2 linked regions of the Drosophila melanogaster genome follow. The protein of the gene in region 2 interacts with the protein of the main gene of each other region in a pairwise test. Each region holds a gene or a part of one and is shown on either strand. Other genes may lie near its edges.

Evidence for each region. Proteins that work in one complex are often made in the same cells at the same time.
Region 1: the proteins of CG15347 (region 2) and Nazo interact in a two-hybrid assay, tested with the Drosophila melanogaster proteins (one large-scale study listed by BioGRID).

Annotation. Positions count from the first base shown.
Region 1 is NT_033777.3:8,282,148-8,292,280, reverse strand, and holds Nazo (nazo), read right to left. Parts: upstream 4,406-10,133; 5' UTR 4,243-4,405; coding exon 4,041-4,242; intron 3,984-4,040; coding exon 3,763-3,983; 3' UTR 3,668-3,762; downstream 1-3,667. Other genes in the region: CG31464 (uncharacterized protein), read right to left, coding at 277-927, 982-1,029; CG11672 (uncharacterized protein), read left to right, coding at 1,733-1,783, 1,846-2,517.
Region 2 is NC_004354.4:8,455,016-8,465,775, forward strand, and holds CG15347 (uncharacterized protein), read right to left. Parts: upstream 5,884-10,760; 5' UTR 5,809-5,883; coding exon 5,751-5,808; intron 4,368-5,750; coding exon 4,209-4,367; intron 4,155-4,208; coding exon 3,682-4,154; 3' UTR 3,479-3,681; downstream 1-3,478. Other genes in the region: CG32713 (uncharacterized protein), read right to left, coding at 1,991-2,545; Es2, read left to right, coding at 6,556-6,907, 7,050-8,203; Sptr (sepiapterin reductase), read right to left, coding at 8,506-9,291; CG33223 (uncharacterized protein), read right to left, coding at 10,743-10,760.

The DNA of each region.
Region 1 (10,133 bases), on a different chromosome or scaffold from region 2:
ATCGAAGATACCACACTTGGTTTTTCTTAAGTGGCGCAGGTTGATTAGGCTTATCCGGCTTATCGCCAATATTACGCTATATATAAACCACCACGGGGCAATGTTTTTCGAGAGAAAATTTAAATTTCTATTTGGCTTTTTATGAATGGTCGAACTGATAACGATTAAAGATAACTATGCTCATAAATATTAGGTAAAAGTTGATGTAAGTAATTAATATTTTCAAGTCGACACCAGACCACAGTTAATAGTGCATTTGACTTTATTACATTCTTTCTAGTTTATCGCACACGACTCAATCTGCGTAAAGAGGTCATCGAAATCCATCTTCAGATGATGGTAGAAGAGGCAACTTGGTGTGTCCAGGTCTTCCAAGGACATCTCCAGCACAATTGCATCGCACAGCTCCAGACTGCTGATCATCCGCTGATTGATCCTCCCGATTCCAGCGACAGTGCATAATAAAACTCCGGCGTGATTGAAACCAGACTGCTTAAGCTGCCAGATTCTGCAGGTGTTTGACAACTCACTGATCTCCCGCGAAGCCTTACTCAGAAAATTAGCCTCCAGCACGATTTCCTCCTGAAAATGATCCATGATGTGGTCCAGAGAATTCCTGCAGATACTGTACTTGTCCACCAGCTCTCGATTGAAGTGTGCCACCTGGAGTTCGTACTTCTTTGAGCATGCCCGCCACTCATCGCTGTACTGGCTTCCAAAAAACATCTCCAAGCGTCCACTAACCACTTGCTGATGGTCATCCAGTGTGTCCTTGGCTTCTTGAAGATACTCCAACTTCTGATCGAGGGCCTGTTGGGTGACGTTCCAGATCCTGGCTGCACTGGAGCTTTGGCTGGCTATAAGCTGCTTTGTGGACTCATAGAGTGGTCCATTTTGTCCCCAAATTCTTTGAAAGTGGCCATGCACCTGTAAGATCTTTTCTTTAATATTATACTTTACACAAATAATGCTATTTCATACACAAAGAAGCGACTGAAGTAAAAGCAGTGACACCCGTACTGTTGTCATCTTGAAACTAAATCGAATTGATTCCCGAAAAATTGAAGATACCATACCTTTTATTTATAGATCGCCAAAGGTTGCCTTAATTAACTAAGACTAAGAATTAAATTCTTTTTTGGGAAAGAGTTTTAACGCTTTAACAAAAATTGTTATTGTTTATAAAGAAAATATTGGGATACCGAAAAATTTAACAGCGTAAGTTGCTAAAAATACCCATGTCATATGTGATCAATATGAAACTTTAGGGTATTTAAGTTCCGAACAAAACTTAAATTAAGTTCTGAATTAGACAAATGGCTCATTTGTGTCTTATAATGTTTATAAGAAAGATTCTTATCGCATGATGACTGTGTAACGACTATATGCTTCAAGTTAGTCATCAACCTCAGCTTTCTTTAGCAAACTTGAACTGTAAATATCTCCCCTTTTACAAATAAAAGTATAATTGATCCCTCCATTATTCAACGAAGGTGAGAAATTTACAAAAAGAAATTACGAAAATTTACGAAAAATACGATGACCAAATAGAATACTTTGAATAGTATACCAAGTTCATGTACTAAAACATCATCTCAGTTCATCAAGTTAATGCTCAAATTGTGTTTCGTAGTGATTGCTATGAGACACACTCTTATCGTGACACTGGATCTCTTGACATATATAAGAAGTCAAGTGTAGGGCCAGTCGCACTAGGAAATATAACAGAAAGATGATGAGTCAAACTCTGGGAGTACTTGCTCTGCTTTTGCTGACTTTGGCAGTGAGTTAATAGTAACTTTCCATTTATAGTACTTTTCAAATTCATATGCTCCTTTATTTCAGGACTGCCAAGAAGTCGGCTATGAAACAAAGATGGAGACAGAGACTACAAACTATGGACCTGTTACCATGGTTGTGGACAATCTGGCAGAGATTGCCGTAAGTGTCAGCGACGACACCTCCATTCAGTTGGAGGAGAAAATAAATCGCACTCGGCAAAATATTGCCGGTAACATTGAGGTCCTGACCGCCAATGCTATGGCCGAACTAAGTGATGTGATCTATGAGACAAACCAGTTAGTGGTGTCCAATCCCGATTGCAACCCAGCCTGGAGCCTGGATGAGCTCAATGAAAATGTGACCCATCAGCTGGGTGGGTGTACGGAAGACTTGGGAAGCCTTTTGGAAGACTTCCGTCTGGAGAGTCAACTGGCTTTGGCCAGAGTACAGGAATTCGTACAGCAGATTGCCCACTTGCCGGCCAAGTGCCAATTGCTGGGGGCTTCCCCGCTTAATCCTCTAGCTTCAGCTGGCGGAAGTGTCTGTTTCATTAACGCGATGGCGGAAATCAATCTGGGGATGGCCCAATCCATGCACAATGCATCCCTAATCCTGGTGCAGACCCACCAGACCGCCGAGGATCAAGTGGTGCAGGCTCAGCTGTGCAGTGCCATGGTGGTGCAGCACATCGGCGACTATCTGCGCGAGGAGCAGGATCAGTGCCGGCAATCATAGTGGACCGACCCTTCCCGTAAGCAATAGTCCTAAGAGAGAACCCAGGCAAAAACAGCCAATGGCAAATTTATGCACCCGCAAGATGACAGGGGCCGAGGACTCGCCACATCCTGTTCACTTATTGCTTATGCATGACATTTATTTGACAAGTTTTTGATTGATTTTACAGCTGCTGCAGTCGATCTGGTACAGCTATCAGCATATTTGCAGGCACAGTGAAGCCTTTTTAAAGTCTGGCTTGGAATTGAAATAAAATCAATTTCAAATCACTATGTTCTTATAAAACGCTAAGAGGCGTGTGTTAAACCAAGGAATTTACACATTTTAAAATGATCAATAAATAGTGAAGTAAATTACTACTTAGTATCAAGATCTCATTTCAGTTTGATTCGACTTAGAGAGGTTGCTCTGTAATTGCATATATATACATATGTACATATGTATATTGGGCAACTTTGTGGCTAATCGCAAGTTCACTTTTCAAAGTCGCATGCATACTAATTGGCCATTGTTCGGCTAAACTGACCAATTGCCCAATGGACTTGCCCACGACACGTGGCAGCCACACGATATAAGATATAGTAGCATACGGATCCGATCCAAATGGGCGACAGCTGGCCCTAGAAAGAGATAGAGACGGAGATCGAGATCGAGATCAGCCAGTTTTTTTCCTCTTCCTCTCGCTTCCGCAGTAAGCAAAATTATTTTGACCTGCCTACCGCACACTGAGCGAATATCCGAAGCGAGTATCTGTGCATCCGTGAGATACACCAAAGCATCGCATCACACATCTCTCTCGTCGTTCACAGTGCAGCAACGAAATTTCTACGACTCTTTATTTCGGCTCTTGCCGCAATTTCACTAAGAGTCTCTGAATTTTATCTTATTTTTACTGCTTGTAACAGTTGTTGCCCTGCTGATGATCGCCTTGGTAGTGTAGCTGCACAAATTCCGCCTACTCCAACATCTGTTCAGCTCCTCCAGACATCTGACGGATTTTGATGACGTAGATCGCGCGACTCTTGTCTATTGAAAGCCGAGCTCTGAGCAAAACAATCTTTTTACATCTGGCACATCGAAAAGGCTAGTCACTGACTATTAAATTATAAGCTGAAATGGTTTTTACTATAGATTTTAAAATAAAATCATTCAGTGCGCCAACAATTTATTTATGTTGCAGGCAAAATTCTGTGTTATAGCATTAATCATCGAGAAATATAGTTTAAAAAATATTTCTATTAATGCCTAATCAACGATGGTCATTCCCATACGATCAGTGATATAGGACTTGACTGCTTCGAGTGCAACCTCTTGCACATGCCGGTTATTTAGTATTAGTCTTGCGACATCTCGAACGCGTACATTTCTAACTTCGGATATGGCCCTGATCACGTGCTGCTCCAGTTCTCGACGCTGACTCTCCGTCAAATCGTTCAAAATGACCTCACTTAGAGATTTGAAATTTCCTGGAATTAAAAGACTGATAAGAATGATAGTCACCATGTAACGCTAGACACTCTTGCCCTCCGTAAGTCCGTAGGCGGTGAGACCACCGATGGCCCCGCCCAGTGCCAGTCCCCGGGGGCCCAGCAGTAGTCCTCCGATCAGCGCAGCGCCAGCACAAATTGCAGCTCCCTTGCCGGCCTCCTTGATGGTCAACTGGATATTTTTATCGTCGGCCAGTATAGCCAGGGCATTGATTATCTCTGAGATGGCTGAATCCATATTTTCAATTTATGTATATTTCCGTTACAAAGTTTTACTTCTTTCCCGGTGACGATCTTTCTAACAACTGAGTACAATCACGTTGTTATTTCGTTATCAGTAGTGCAATAATTGTATATCCGCCACTGTGGAGGGGAGTTACTCGATACAAACCAAATCATCGAAATCAATTTTAATCTATCATTGCAATCAAGCTTCGCATATGTACATATGTAGATTGAAAGCTTTTTTTTAGGAGTACCCGATATCAGAACCCAAGTATAAAGAAATCATAATCTTATGGCAGTGCATCCAATGATTTAGCAGGCATGGAATGGAATTTTTTGAACCGCATGAATAATTACATTTCCAGTTGAAATCCCAAATTACTGGTTAAAAATACCACAAAGGCTTCCAATGCGGCACATTGCACTGTAAAATCACGCTTGAAACACTCCACAGCATTTGTAGCGACACCAACTATTTTTATAATAGCTGCCTTCACAAAGTCAACCAATTCTGCCAGGACCCTCAAGGTCAAATCCGCAATTTTCTCATACATCCAGTAGATAACTCCTACATTTCAAATACAATTGATATGATAGGTAGGTAATCGTTTAGTGTTTTATACTCGCCTTCTGTAAGTTGACCGTTTATGTTTATGTTTATGTTTATATGCCGTTGGCGGAACTTACCTTCCGAAGAACCTTCAAGGTGTTCCCTTTCCCTTTTCCTCCTCGCCGCGTTCAGGAGAGTCTCCAAAATCATTTCTAAGTCAAGATTCACCATTTTAACAAGTTTTCTGCCTGACGAATTATGGGTTCTAACGCGAACCAAACTTGTTATCAGACTTTTTTACCAGCCAATGGTATCAATAGAAATAAACGTTTGGCCAAACTTTAAAAATACCATATTTTAATACATGTACTAATAAACAAAATAATATGTATGTAACAATAGTTATCGATATGCGATGATCGATAATCTTCGCAAAGGGTAGCAAAGGTAAGAAAATAGGACAAGCTTAAAGTAGAAGTAGAACAAAGCGAGTTGAAGGTTGTGTAATTAAAAAAAGATCTTAAAGCCGAAAGTTGTCGTGTCCGGAGTAAGGAAAAGTTGTGTAGTCGTCGTATGCCCGGAGATCAAGAAGTGTTGGCACGAGTCATCTTTTTATTAAATACCTAATATAATAAGCAAACTATACTTCTATAAAATATTAATAAGATAAACAATTGTGCTAAACAATAAACATCCTACATATATTTTTAAAGAAATCTATGCATTTTTAATATTTTAAATAAAATTTTTCCTATTATTATTGTGAACACATTCCTTTTTGTTTGAGTTTTAGCACAATTCAGAGGAGTTCGTTTATATTTGGCGATTGCTTGTCAGGATTTAAGCATTAATTTGAATTTAATAGTCTTTACCTTGAGCCATATTGGCACAAGTGATATTGTCATGCACACATGTCGGAAGATTCGCATATCAAAGGGCCGTCTTCTTTCAGAATTCGGCTGACGTGCCTAGATGGCGTTTAAAAATCGCTGCCGGATTGTCTTTAATTTTGATTGATGCACCTTTAATTGCGTGGGCTTCCAAGTGCTACTGCTGAACTTTTGGGTAACTGTAACTGAATCAAGAGCGGATCGCTCTTAGCTGCTGGGAGCTAGCTAGCTAGCAGTTGTCTACTATGTACATATAAATATGGGATGCTTGAGGTTGAAGGATCGAGGTTTCCGCCTGCGACCAAATGGCGTGTCTTGCTCACACAATGCCGAATAATCGTTATTGTTGCTGGCTGTCTGCAGGACGAGCCGCGTGGCGTGCGAGTGAAAGCCAGCGAAAAGGACCCACTGCGGGGCATTGGCCAAAGCGAGATAGAGCCAAGGCGCAACATATGCCATCTTTGGCCGGTCTTTTCCTCCTCCTCCCCTCATTCCTCCAGCAGGACCTCTCGTCCTGTCCCTTTCTAGCCCGCTCCTTGGAACAGAACAAACGGACGACGCACGCCGTCATCTGGTGCCACTTTTGACTTTGGAAATTGGGTTGCCCACGCTCCTTCGCCCCAACACTTAGAAAAAATATTCCATGCTGTTTGAGAGTAAAAACTTTCTTATATCGACCAAATAATAGCATTTTGTAGTATACAGAACGTTGAAATAATTCCAGATCTCTGATAAACAGATTGCAATATTTTAACTACAACTAATGAGTTTTGAGTTTTCAGGAAGCTTAACGAGTTTGTCGAATTCCAAAACAATTGCCCACGTCTATAGAATTTTGACAGTTCTTTCAAAAGGGTTCCAATATAATAATCTAAATATATTATATTATATATTCTATATATTCATAGTATCTATTCTAAGAACAATCTAATTTCTTCCAGTGCGTGGTCCGTTTCCCCGCTCAGTTGAAATTATACTTTTTGTAGCTGTTTCGTTTACGGTTGGGTCTTTCTTGCCTCTGACCTGGCAGACAATTTCAAGGAAGCAGGAGCACTCGCCCAACAGTTACTACTGACTTCCGATCGGAGCACGAGTGCAGGAAGAACAGGGAAGGCAGCCGAGCCCGAAACCCGAACAGCGACAGCAGGATAAGCGGCTTTAAGGACTCGGCAAGCGGACAAGCGGATCCCCCCAAGAAAAAAAAAGGAACTGGAAAGGGTTGCACCTGGGGGAACGCGACGAGAGTAACGGGCAATCCGTATTGGGTATTGGGTTGGGGGGAAGGTGTGAGGCCGACAAGGATGCACAGACATTCGGGGCTCGGCTTACCGAATCCGAATTGAGCCCCGAAATCGCGCGTATGCCAGCAAATGAACACGTGTGCCGCAGGATCACTTTAAAACATCGATGCGTCAGCTGGCCAACTCCGAAAGTTGCCCGCCACGGTAATTGGTTTCTCTATGAGAATGCTAGAAGAATCTTATGATCTTTAGGGTTCACAGAAGATCACAAACTATCTCAGTACATTCTTTATATCGAGAAACAAAAAATATGGATTACATTTCTCGAATAAGTGTTTTAGAATACAATAAAAGTAGTTCGAATCATTACAAACTTTATACTCTCCTTATAATTTTTTAATGATCGAAAATAAAAACAAATTGTCCAAATAAATCTTGAATAATAAATCGCTTCGATGGGCAAATTATCCGCCAAGTCGAGCGTATAAAATTCCCAAATCGTTTACAAAACGACCATAAACAAAACAAAAGCAAATCAAGGGCAACGATAACAAAAAAGTTCATTTACATTAAACCCCAATATCGAAGATACAGAAATAAATAATGAACTTGGCTAAGGAGACAAATGTATAATTTTACAGATCGCGCAATTCAATTAGACAAATCGCCGCAAAGCCACTGGCACACAAAAAAAATTAAGCAATAAAATTAGTTGTGGTTCACGCAAATTGAAAGCATCAAAAGGAGTCGCAAGGACATGCCGCTGCTCGCCAGGAGCCCCAGAAATAGAGCAATAGCAATGAATCAGTTCGTTGAAGGGCCATTGAATGCCCGTTGGCATTCCGAGTAGTTTTCGTTTTCGATTTCGTGTCATAATGTGTTGTAAGTAGGGGCCTTTGTTTCACAAAGGACTCGCCATTGTTCCATTGTCCGCTCAAGGACCTGTCCTGGGAACACCCGCACGGTTCCCAGCATCCAAGCAGTTTGCCTTTCTTGGGCTGCTGTGTCAGTTGCGACCACAATTTGACTCTCTGACCACCAACATAAAATGTTGACAGGCGGAACACGCCCCTAAAATATTATGCGAAGCAAGTCCTGTGGGGTCCGCGCAGTATCCTTGCCGGTTCTGGCTTCCCTATCCCTTTTCGCTGGGCCGGTCCTTTGAGCAAATCAATTGATTTCCTCTTGACAGTTATGAGCTGATCACATTGCTATCTTGATCGCCAGTTTTGTCGGCGCTTAGCTGCCAGGAATTTATTGTTATTGACATTTTAGTTGGGTGGAATCACACGGATTATATCTGCTAATTGCACACGAACGAGAAACGATCCTTTAGATCTTGGGCGACCAGAGGCGGCGCACCTTGTTCAGTCCGAGATATTTTATAGGCAATCAATCAAAGTTATGGTTATTCCGAGAATATTCTAGCTCGACTAAGCCTAGTTTCTATTAATTGGAGGTTGGGATAACACACATGATTATTTGTTAAATGTGAATTCAATTTAAATAGACGCATATGGATCTCCTCAGAGATATTCCATTTTTTCCAATGCTCAACTCATCGACGATATCGTGTTCGAGAAGCCCCACTTTCACGACCGTTTAAACACAAATCGGCTGGAAAATCACGGCTTGTCCAGCACAAATCGGGCTCACCCCTTGCCGCAGGTGATAAAATTTCGCACATTAATACTTAATTACTTGAATAATTGGGGCCAAGGGATTAAGTTCTCACTCACTCCGGGTCGCGACAGTCGATCGAAAAAAAAAAACAGCGCGGAGTCGGAGGCCAGTCAATGCAGGTGGCAAGCAACCCCATCTCCATCCTCAATCAAAGCTACTGTCAACCAGAAAAAAAAGGCCAACAAAGTTGGCCCAGAGATGAAGTGATGCCAACGCCACCGACGTCGTTGACATTAAATTGAAGGGTCCTGCCGAAAATGTTGTTCTTGTTGCTGTCTGCTGAGCCGAGCTCAAGCAGCAACTTTGAACGCACTCTGGACGCATTTTTCACACGAAATCCTGATTAATAAATATATAAGTTCCACAATATTACTGGTAATTTGAAAAGTCGTCAACCCGAGCCCAGGCTTTTGGTGCGGGGAATGCGCGAGGGGAGTCTCCGAAGATTCCATGCGGAGTCTGGGCGAGACTTTGGTGCCCAATTACAAGCAAATGAGCTGGAAAACTGTATCAAATGACCCAATGTCAATACAAAATTACAGGCCCCGCACCAGTAATCTCTGTTCGACCTGAAGACGCAGACCTGGACAAATCTTCTTCAGACTCTCCTCTTAACGTGACAAAGCGATGGCGATGGCTTGCGTGTGGCAATTTCAGTTAAAAAATGCTGGCCAGCAGTTTTTTGTGTTGCCAAATGCGGAATACTCTACCGCTACAAATCAAAAAATCAAATCTAAATCATAAATCGAAACCTATTTTAGTACGACTATGGGTAATAAAAAGTAACAAGGATTATCTTGTGACTTAATTGCATTATTTAATTTGAAATAGTAGAGTATAATTAAAATGCATTCACTTAGCTGCCTTTTGTTTGCTCTGTGCCTTGTCTTGGTAGCATTTTAAGGTTTTTGCCTCTTGTGTTAATTTGATGCCTCGCCAAAAAGTTGTCAAAAAATCCAGAACGACTTTGATTTCTGATGCACTTTCACTGTCGATCTTCGATCACCGTTGGCTGCAGCGTGAGATACTGAGAACTTTGGTTCTTTGGGATGCCCACCAACTTGGTGGGTCCTGAATCTGGACTCTTGGGTTTGGAAACCGAAAGTCAGTCAAGTGTGCCGTGCCGATCGTCTGTGTGGCTAATTGAGTTACCCAGAGATTTTTGGGCCGTTGGCCGTGCGAATTATTTGTCAAATGGGTAACGGTTAAGTTTGTTACTGCTCCCGATGAGGAGGACGAGGATAATGATGATCAGGATCGGTAACCGGAGCCCATGGCCCTACGTTGATTGATGGTAGATGCGTTGCGAATCGTTTGACTAATTGCCGCTAACCTTGTGGGCCAGGACTTCCCAAAACAAACGGTGACCTCCAGAGGACTCTGCCTCTTCCTATGCCAGGTAATCTCTCTCCTTTCCTCGCGGACCGCACACAATGCCCGATAATGGGCTGAGAAAGGATGTATTAAGAAAAGGGGGCGCGGCTGCCGTGATTTGGTGTCGCTAATTACAGACTTTGGCATTTTACGTTGTCCGTTTTAT
Region 2 (10,760 bases):
GCTGCTGGGCAGATGCATCGCTGCCTCTCGAGATCCCAAGATGCCGCATTGTACGGACCATCTCCCCAAATCGAGAAATCTATCCGCCAATCGCCGGCCGCAGCATCCAAATTTAGACTCGCCAGCCGCACCAATCGATCCACCAATGGCCGCACGGCCACCTCCTCCTCCTCCATCTCCTCCTCCTCCTCCTTCTCCTTCTCCTCCTTCTACTCCTCCTTGGATCGCACCGACATGTGTTGGCTCGCCTGGGATCTAGCCTAGTATCAAGTGGATGAATATGCCGCGCAGAATTGAGCGTAGGGTGCGCGCAAGGCATTTACCAGATGTGGCTACAGTGAGGCCTAGAACTTGGTGAACACTTGGGGTTTGCTATCTGCAACTCTTTGTTTGGTTTTATGCAAACTATGCTTAACATAGTTATATTTATGTAATCTAATTTGATCATATTAATAACTTAATGCATGTAAATAGTATAGAGGTATCCTTTAGAGTATATAGATCACTGTACTCTCCACACGTTTCACTAATTTCTGCTCCACTGTTTACTTCTCTCTTGTTTTTTTTTTTTTTTTTGAAGGGGCGTGGTCTTTGACCATAAACAGCAGGCGGTGGAGAAGATCAAGAAGGAGGAGGAGCAGGTGATCCCCACTTTTGCATATTGTTTTCTTCATTCTCTTTTTTTTCAGGGGGGCGCGCTGATCAGTGGGCGTGGCCCGTGGAGTGGGTGGCCGACCAGAGTCATGGGCCTCATTTGGAAAACGCTTTTAATTGGACTGCCGCACGCATGGTGGTGCTGGTTGCTCGTGGATCTCGCGGTGCTCCGCTCAATGCTGCAGTGCAGCCGAGATGTTGCTGCTGCTGTTGGCCATAAATACAAATTGCGCCATAACCTCGACACTAAATAAACCGTAAAAAGGAAAACGGAATATTAAGACGTTGGCAAGGCGCACCCAAAAAATTCAATTCATTTGGAATAATCATAAGTTTTTGGAAAAAATTGCATTAAACATAAGAAATACGAAGAGAATATGAATTAATACTTAATACATAAAAAAAAGGATTACTGCTAATTTTTCATACGAAATTTGAATTAGCTGTGAGCAACATTTGCGCTCAGTGTAGCGGCGGCCACCACCTCCGCCACAAGAGGGAGTGAGATGGGCGGTCGAAAATGGCGTCTGTTGGCCATTGGAGCCCGGAATGTGGGCCCAGCGGAGATGGAGATCCGGGGAAGCCGAGAAAACTGGACCGATCAAAGTGAAACAGCCCGATTAACCGGGTGCGTCTGCTTTTCATCAGCCACGGCCATTCCAATTAGTGGGTACATACATATGTATACATATAGATGGTATATCTATTATATATAGCATGTAGTAGTATATGTTACCTGGCACACGGGGTCTCCAAGTGAATCGATTTGTTTACCCTCCCTCCTACTCACCCCTTCCATATAAATCTACGCATCCAGTTGCGTCCTGGATTTATGGAACAACTGCTTGTTAATGTTTTTCCCTGATTTTCGTTTGCCGCACTACTGTTTACAATTATTTTGAGTTAATTTTTTTTCCCCTTTTTTTTGGCATTTTCAGAAGCATTTCGATCGCAGCAGATCGTACCATGCAGTCCATAAATAATACATAAATTTGAAAAATTGTTATGGCATTGGCCATGCCATTTTAGTCGTTAATTATTTGTTTGAGTGTAAACAATTGGAAATGAAATGCTAACTGCTTCGAAGAAATTACTTAAATGATTCATAAATTCGATATTCGATCTTTTTTATCGATTATATAAATATTATATATAAATGAGTGTAATGCATTTGTTGTAAAATTTCCATCATGGACGAAATCGACTAAAGGTTTATTATTGTATCGTAAATTTAGATTCCAAATCGAAGCGTTTGGCTTAAAGGAATTTCGAAATTAAATGACGACTAAATATTTTTAATTTAAGATAATTTACAACAGTCTACTTCTCATTGTCGTTATTCGTGGCCTTCTTCTTGAGATCCAGAGAATCCATGAGATCCAATGGAGCAATCCAGCTCCGGTTCCGTCTGGCCTTTGAGCGATAAATCATCGGTTTGAATTGAGGACAAATCGTGTCCAGTCATGTCCTGGGCCTCCAGTGCATCATCATCGTCACCTGCGTTGAAGTTTAGTTGACTTTCGTCGTCCGGTGGATTGACTAGGCCACCAGGATATTCTTCGCGTTGCTGATAGCCACCGATCAGTGTAAACATAACTTCACTATCGTCTATCCTGCCATAGCCGAACTTGCTTAACTTGCTGCTCTGATTGGCCGTCAGGACGACCGGCTTCCAGGTGAGATCCAGGGTGGACTTATTGGGCCCCAAATCCTCCAGTACGCTCTGATTGGATAGCACGCGACCCTTGTACGACAGCCGACTGAAGCCCATGGGCACGGACATGACTTGCCCGATCCGTGCCTTCAGGCTGGCCACCGTTCCTAAGCGATCCACCTCGTAGACGGTCTTCTTGCCGTCGCGCGTCTGAACCAAAACTTGGACCTTCCGCATCCTGATGCCCGAATTTATATATATATATATATATATATATATATATAGATAATTTTAGATTTTATACACAAGCTCTGTGTCTCCAGGTGTAGTCTGCTTTGTTCGGATAGAAGTTTGCTTCTGGAACCCCTTGTGTAAAACTGTCGTCGTCATGCGAATGCCAGTGCGAGTAAAATTTCATGGCATCCTTGGATTACCTTATAGCCTAATCAACATTTGTTGATTCTCCAATCGAATTTCATAAACAAAATCGAAGAAAATCAAGTACAAGCTATCAGAAAGTTGATGGCAACGAAGTTCTAGCGAAATGAATTTGACTACCTAATTGGAACAAGAAAAAAGCATTTAAATCAAATTGACTAATATTATAACTTGCATTTAAAAACCCGCACAGTACATATGTATATATATTTCCACGTACGTATGTTGCCTATAAATAGTTAGTTTAGTTAACAAATCGCTGGAGCCGAGTACCATGCACAAAACTGATCTATTTCCGCACATCCAGTTCGATCGAATGGAAAATGGCATCCGGAAAAGCGAGCCGTGAAAAGTAATTGACAAACATTCGGAGGCGTCGACACATTTATGCACTCCTCATTTGCGCCGAGAGCTTCCGGTTTTCCAACTGCCACTCCGGTACTTGCGGCTCGTCGTCGATTTCTCTTGGTCTGGGATCGGAATCGAGGAATAGAGGTATAGGGTATCGCAATTGAAATCGGGACTTCATAAACACAGTGGCATGTTGTCAACTGCAGTGCCAACCCGTTGACACCTCGTAAAAAGTGAAATGTGTGTTCACTGTGTTTATGCATTAAAGTTTTATGCTTACTTTTGCTTCAAAAAACATTACGATGAAGAACTGTTCAAAGTGAGCAACGTTTTGGTTATCCCCCAATCCCAAAATGTAATAACTAAACCATTTCTATTTTTGTCTTCTTTAGTTTAGTTATCTTTATTAACGTTTTGTTCAAAGTAATGAAATAAACGAGTATAAATGTAACATCCCAGTGTATGTATGTATGTATAATGATGTTTTAGAATGTAGAAAATAATAAGACGGGAATTTCTAAAAGAACTGGGTCTGTGGCATGATTGACTTTCGTCCATCATTCGACTCTGGCCGTCGTTACATCTTAGAGTCTCCAGGCGGCGACAAGACCGCTGATCAGCAGCGTCATGGAGATGATCAACTGGGCACCGCTGTCGCGTGCCAGCGGAATGTTGGTATCATTGGCCAGCAGAAAGTTGCAGCCGCGTCCCTCGCACGTATAACAGTTGCCATCCTTGACGCACTGCTTCCTGGCATTCGCCGAGGTGAGACAGCCGCGCTGGAAGGATCCGTCCACGGTGCGATTGCTATTGCGAATGTAGCACTTGTCGCCGAACTTGTACAGCGGGCAGATCTTGGCCGATACATAGGTCTCTGTGGCGCAGGACGACGAGGTCGAGTTCCCTGTGCACTGTAGGCACATGAGGCGGCTCAACGGGAAGGTGTTTCGATTGCATCCCTCGCTGTAGGTGCACAGCTGGCACAGTAGCTCGTTGTTGCACGAATTACGCGTGGCGTTGTCCAGATCGACGGCACAGCCGCGAATTGTGTAGCCATCTGCGAAAGATACCATTAGATGGTGCAGCCAGGGTAATCAATGCGATAACATACCCAGGACGCGGGAATAGCAGTTGGAGGATCCATCGGAACAGTTGCGATTGAGCAGGCTCAATGGATCTGTGGCGCAGCGTTCGTTGTCCTTCGAATTGCACTGGATGCATCCATCTGCAAATTGAGCGAGTGGAACGGAGCGTTTCGATTGAGTCATGCCTGATTAGATTAGATCAAGTTTTTCGTAATCGTTGCGTTGGCATAATGACATCATATTGATTTCGTGCAAAGTCTGCCTACCTACCACAGTGCATATGTGTTTGAATGTGTTTGATTATTTCTTTTTATGTATCTACCTGCATGCCTTATTACAATGACGCGCACTGTACTCGGATGGCAATTGTCTCGATTTTCCACAATCGATTCTTACGAACATGCCCATGACAAGTGAATCAGCAAACTTGTATGTTTTTGATAAGAAGAGTCAATTTACATTGGCTATAAATCGAAAGCTTGCAAGCAAATTATATTTAGCATATCAGGTGGCAGTAAATATTAAATATTTACCAAGTGTTTACATGAAAGTACGAATGTACGAGATTATGTTTCAACTTTAATAATGAAACGGAATAACTATGTACTTCATCACAAAGAGAAATTAAATTACCGCTGACATACAGCTGTGTTCATAAAAATAGCAGTGCTTGAGTTTAAAATAAAAAAATCTTAAGATTTCAAGTTTTAATGGGAAAATTTTTTTTATAATATCATTAGGTATTTAATTTTAAACAATTCAACAAATGTTTCACATTCATTTTTTTAATAGTTTCGAAAATATAGATTAAAACAAGCAGAAATAGCAGTGCTATGAAAAAATAGTAACAAAATTCAACTTGACTTAGAACGAACTTATTCTTAGCCGATTTGCTTCTGCGTTTCTTTATTTTTTATTTTTTTAATTTATTGCCCTTTTAAATATACAAATTCAAATTCAAATTCAAACTCACTTTTTAGAAAATATTGATCATTTCGGGAGTTTACGTTGGTCAAAACCAGACACTGCTATTCTGTTGAACAGCCTAAAAGTTGTGATTTTGCTCAAGAATGTAAATAAAAAAAAGGATAGCATAGAAAACTAACGACATTTTCTTTTTTTCCCTATCTACACATTCCAATTCACAAAAATAAGTGGAATAAAAATTCGATCCCGAAACATGAAAAAAAAACCGTCGCATTTCTTAGTTTCTCTTGCACTGCTATTTTTTTGAACACAGCTGTATGTACACATGGTTTAAATATATGGCGTACAATTTTCACATCTTTTTGCTGGCTCACTCACACTTAGAAAAAAAAGAATATGTTTGCCCAGTTACAAAGCTAAGAACCTTTAAAAGTTTCTTTGGAAACTCGCCTATTGATAGCTTATCATGAATTTATTTCCGTGTCCATGATATCACCGCTTATCACACCTTATATAAAACACTCAATAAGTTTTTCAATTCAAAGAGCAAAAAGAAAATTAAAAAAAAAAAAATACGATCCCGATGAAAATTAAAAGTGAAACTTATTTTGGAACAACATTTAGGCAGGTACAACATTTACCACAACTGATGTAGGCCAAAAACGAGAGGGCTGCAATCACCAACAGGTAAAACTTCATGGCTGATAACTGATGTAACTAATTTCACGACGATCGAATGTTGCGACTGGTTACGGAGCTGAACCAGAACTAAGGGAGTAGAAAAGGTTCAATGAGTGATTTGAGTTTTGCCGAGCTTTATACCCTATTCATATATACCTACAGCTTTACGATAAGGCACCACGACAACAGTAATTCTATTGGTGAGTTGAGAAAAAAAAGTGTTTTGAAATGATTCACGACGCTAAAGTTGTCGCTCTTTGGCATACATTCATTTTCATAAATTATGTTCAGCGGGTTAGTCAGCGCACTTGCGAAACTTCCAGATGTTTTAAAAATATATCTTTAATGTTTGCAAAATCGTAATAAATTTCATTTTCAAGTGCTAGCTAATCGCATTAAAATTTCAATTCAAATGCTAGCGCGCATTTGAATGCGTTCCACACTTATCGATAACACGTCGATAAGTACTCCTTGCCAGAGTTTTTAATTAATATAGTTTAGCAAAATATCATTTTGTTTCTATTTAAATTTAAATTGGTTCATACTCACCAATTTATTGTAAAGGAAGTCGAAACTTTTAAGCTGATTAATTTCACCTTTTACATCCGAGAATTAAAAAAAAATACAGGGAAATATTTTGAACCGACGTTTTGTTATTCTGAGTGAAACTTAAAACGGTCACACTTTGCTGGCAGACAAAAATATTCACTTTTTATATCTAAACAAAACAAAGTTATTTACGAAAAAAGCGAGATATAAACGGCAATGAGCGCCACGACTAGAACACCTGCCACACCGGGGACACCTGGCACTCCCGGCAGCCTGGCCATGGAAGTGGCCCGCGTCCAGAATTCAGCACTCGCCGAGTTTAAAAAGCCCACGGCGATGGTGCGCCACAAGAACAAGCCAAAGATCCTTACCGAGGAGAAGTACATCGAGGAGATGTCTAAGATCATCCAGCGCGACTTCTTTCCCGATCTGGAGCGGCTGCGTGCCCAAAACGACTACCTGGACGCGGAGTCACGGCGCGACTTTGTACAAATGGCCGAGATTCGGGAGCGCTACAGTCTGGGCAGGATTTCCGGGACAGGAAGAAGCACCAGCCGACGGAATAATGGTGGGTATTGTACTCAATTGGATGAACACCACTGGCACATCGCTGTCTGCTACTATCTTACTTGAAATCAAGTCTGATGAAATTATACATTGGCCAAGTTCAATAGATAGACCCATTAACTTTTTGAATTCCTTCATTTCAGCCATGTCCCCGGCCACATTTGAGACACCAGTGAGTCAGGCGAAATGTAGCAACACCCCATTGCCAAATTCCCGGGCCACAGACACACCATTTTCCACGGACGGCTCCGAGAAGAGCGATGCCGAGGGCAGGGACACCACCGCGAAGCTATCGCTGGACGCCTTTCTGCAGAAGTACACCAGCGAGGATAACCAGAGCTTTCAGGAGATCATCGAAACGGCCGAGGCCAAGCTGCGCCAAAAATACGCAGTACTGTACAACCATGAGAAGCTCTCCGCAGAGCAACTGCAGCGGGCCCTAATGCTGCCCAGCATAGAAACGCAATTCGAGGAGCCAGATCCGCTGAGAAAGATCGAAACCTGGAACTACACCAACATGAATTCCATTATGTACGTGCCCGATGGCGTGGAGTACACAGAGGAGGAGCGCGTCCAGTTGGCCGAACGGAAGCAGAGCATCCAACACAATGCCACCAGGCTGCCCGATGAGGCAAAGCATCGCGAAATGGACACTAAAAAGCTGAATGATGAAGTGCCCCAAAATGGGGCTGGTGGTGCCACAGCTACTCCGAAGGTACGCGGCTTCGATTTGTTGCGTTCACCATCACCGCGACCCGGAGAGGCTTTCTCGCCCATAATGACCTGGGGTGAGATCGATGGCACTCCCTTTCGCCTGGACGGAGGCGATACCCCATTGCGGCCCACACAAGGACCCTCGTTCCGGATTAATGAGAACTCTCGGCGCGAAAACATCGCCATCGCTTTGGCCGAAAGGGTCAGCGAAAGGATGCGAAATCAAAAACAAATGGCTCTGGATACGGCGCGTCGTAACATTGGCTCACCACTGATACGCACCAATATGGAACGGCTGGCCAGCATGTCGCCGGCAGCGCAGCTACTGGCCACGGGTAAGCTGGGTATCCGCGGCACGCCCCGATTAAGGCACACACCATCGCCGATGAGCGGCAGAAAACGAAAGGTTACGCCCGGCGTGGTGAGGAGCACCAATACGCCAATACTGGGTGAACCCAAACCCAAACAGCAGGCCAAGATTAGCACTCCGGCTAAGAACGTTACCATTGATACGGGATCCACGCTCACGGACGATCTGCTCAAGATACCCACTAAACGACGCACTGCAGCCGATTTCTTTTAGTACATAACATTACCCATAACCCAGCTACATTATTCATGTTTAATTTCATTAGAGAATACTATACATAGTCCCACAGTGTTGTTACGAATTGTATATTTCTTATAAATAGATGCCGAGTTGTTGGAAAGAAGATTTAAGAATGCGTAAATCATAAACATCATACACATATCTTATCAGCTTTGAAGTTCATTAAGATGTATTGGGTGTTGTAGCAAAAACACTTGCGCACATTTTTAGTTTCATTTTAATGTTTCAATACGAAAAACCCCATTACCACAGATAGCAACATACTGATTAACTAGCTAGAACTGCTCATCCCTGTAATCCACATGATCGCCGGACTTGAACTTGAATGCTTCCAGGACTTTGATGAATCGCTCCGTCGTTTGGGCGGGAGTCAGCATGGTCTTGGACTCCCTTTGCTCTCGAAACATGGCGACCACGGCGGGATCGTGGGCCTCTCGCTGAACCTGGACGGTCATCTGTGTGTCTATGACGCCGGGCGCGTAGTTCAACACCAGGGTGTCCTCGGCGGACTCCTCGGTGGCCAGCACTCGGAAGTACATCTCACGGGCTGCCTTCACCGTGCAATAGTGTGCCATCGAGGATATAGGTGCAATGGCTGCCAAGGTGCTGAGATTAACCACCAACTTTGGGATTCCCTTGAAGACGCGCATAAACTCGCAGTTTAGCGAAATGGCCGAGAAGACATTGGAGTGGTAGTAGCGCTGTAGGAAGTCGGTATCTCCGATTTCTTTGGCCCTCTTTGACGTATCGCCCACTGTGCCGGCATTATGAATGACTATGGCTCGCTCGAAATTGTTCTTTCCACCGGATGCCTCCAGAATCTTGGTAAAGTCCTCCGTTTTGGCCGTTTCCAGCTCCAGCGAATAGGTTTGCACGGATAGATCTGGCACTGTGGCGACAATCTCTGCCTTAGACTCCTGCAAAAGGGTTTGATTGCGTCCCAGAAGCGTCACCATGGAACCCTCGGCTTTGATCCGTTTGGCTAACTGCTGGGCGAACTCACGGCCAATTCCACGTGATGCACCGGTCACCAGGAGATATGTGCGCTGTTTCAGGTCCATGATTGCGTGAAAAACACGGACTATATTACTTTCTAATTTCCACACCGCTGAAGTGGCAACAGTTGGCTGTCTTTTTGCCTTAACTCGCTTTGGCTTTTACCTGATTCTCCGGCAGCTTTTGCACAGCTGACTAAAGCTTGGTGCTTTTATTTTTATGACCAGGAGCGTAAGCAAAACTACTTTCTAAAAGGGGGTAATATAAGTAGTGTAGTTTTTGATACCCATTAAATAGTATCATAGTAAACTTTTAGCGATGACCAGGTTATTCATTTCGTTTATTCATTTAAAGGTATTAGTATTTGTAGAAACAATTAATTATTATTTTTGGAAATTTTAGCCCCCCAATATACCCGCCCATGTCTCCCGCTCTCCCCGCTTTTTGTGCTCTCGATTCGCACATTTCTCTCACGGTTTAAGCTTCACTCGATGCGAAAGGTTATCGCCGGCTCTTGCTTAACGATTTAATTTAATTAATTGCCTATGTTTTATTAACCGCTACTATATAATACTACACTATATATCAAAACTTATGGTCCTTTTGGAAAGAACCCAACTAATATATTATATATATAATGTGTGATCGAATGTCAATGTCAAGGTCAGCATCTTAAAGAGTTAACTCGAGTAATCTTCTCTCGAAAGCTCTGCAACTTTGTTATAAAGTTCAAGCTCGCAAATTGTCATTAAATTTATATTGATTTTTCTTACAAAATTTGAATTAGCATTTGCGCTCAGTGTAGCGGCGGCCACCACCTCCGCCACAAGAGGGAGTGAGATGGGCGGTCGAAAATGGCGTCTGTTGGCCATTGGAGCCCGGAATGTGGGACCAGCGGAGATGGAGATCCGGGGAAGCCGAGAAAACTGGACCGATCAAAGTGAAACAGCCCGATTAACCGGGTGCGTCTGCTTTTCATCAGCCACGGCCATTCCAATTAGTGGGTACATACATATGTATACATATAGATGGTATATCTACAATATATAGCATGTAGTAGTATATGTTACCTGGCACACGGGGTCTCCAAGTGAATCGATTTGTTTACCCTCCCCCCTACTCTCCTCTTCCATATAAATCTACGCATCCAGTTGCGTCCTGGATTTATGGAACAACTGCTTGTTAATGTTTTCCCTGATTTTCGTTTGCCGCACTACTGTTTACAATTATTTTGAGTTAATTTTTTTTCCCCTTTTTTTTGGCATTTTCAGAAGCATTTCGATCGCAGCAGATCGTACCATGCAGTCTATAATTAATAAATTTAAAAAATTGTTATGGCATTGGCCATCGTTAATTATTTGTTTGAGTGTAAACAATTGGAAATGAAATGCAAACGGATAAAATCGACTAAAGATTTATTATTTATGCTTGTATCGTAAATTTAGATTGAGGACTGAAACGAGGACTAAATCTTTTTAATTTAAAATAATTTACAACAGTCTACTACACATTGTCGTTATTCTTGGCCTTCTTC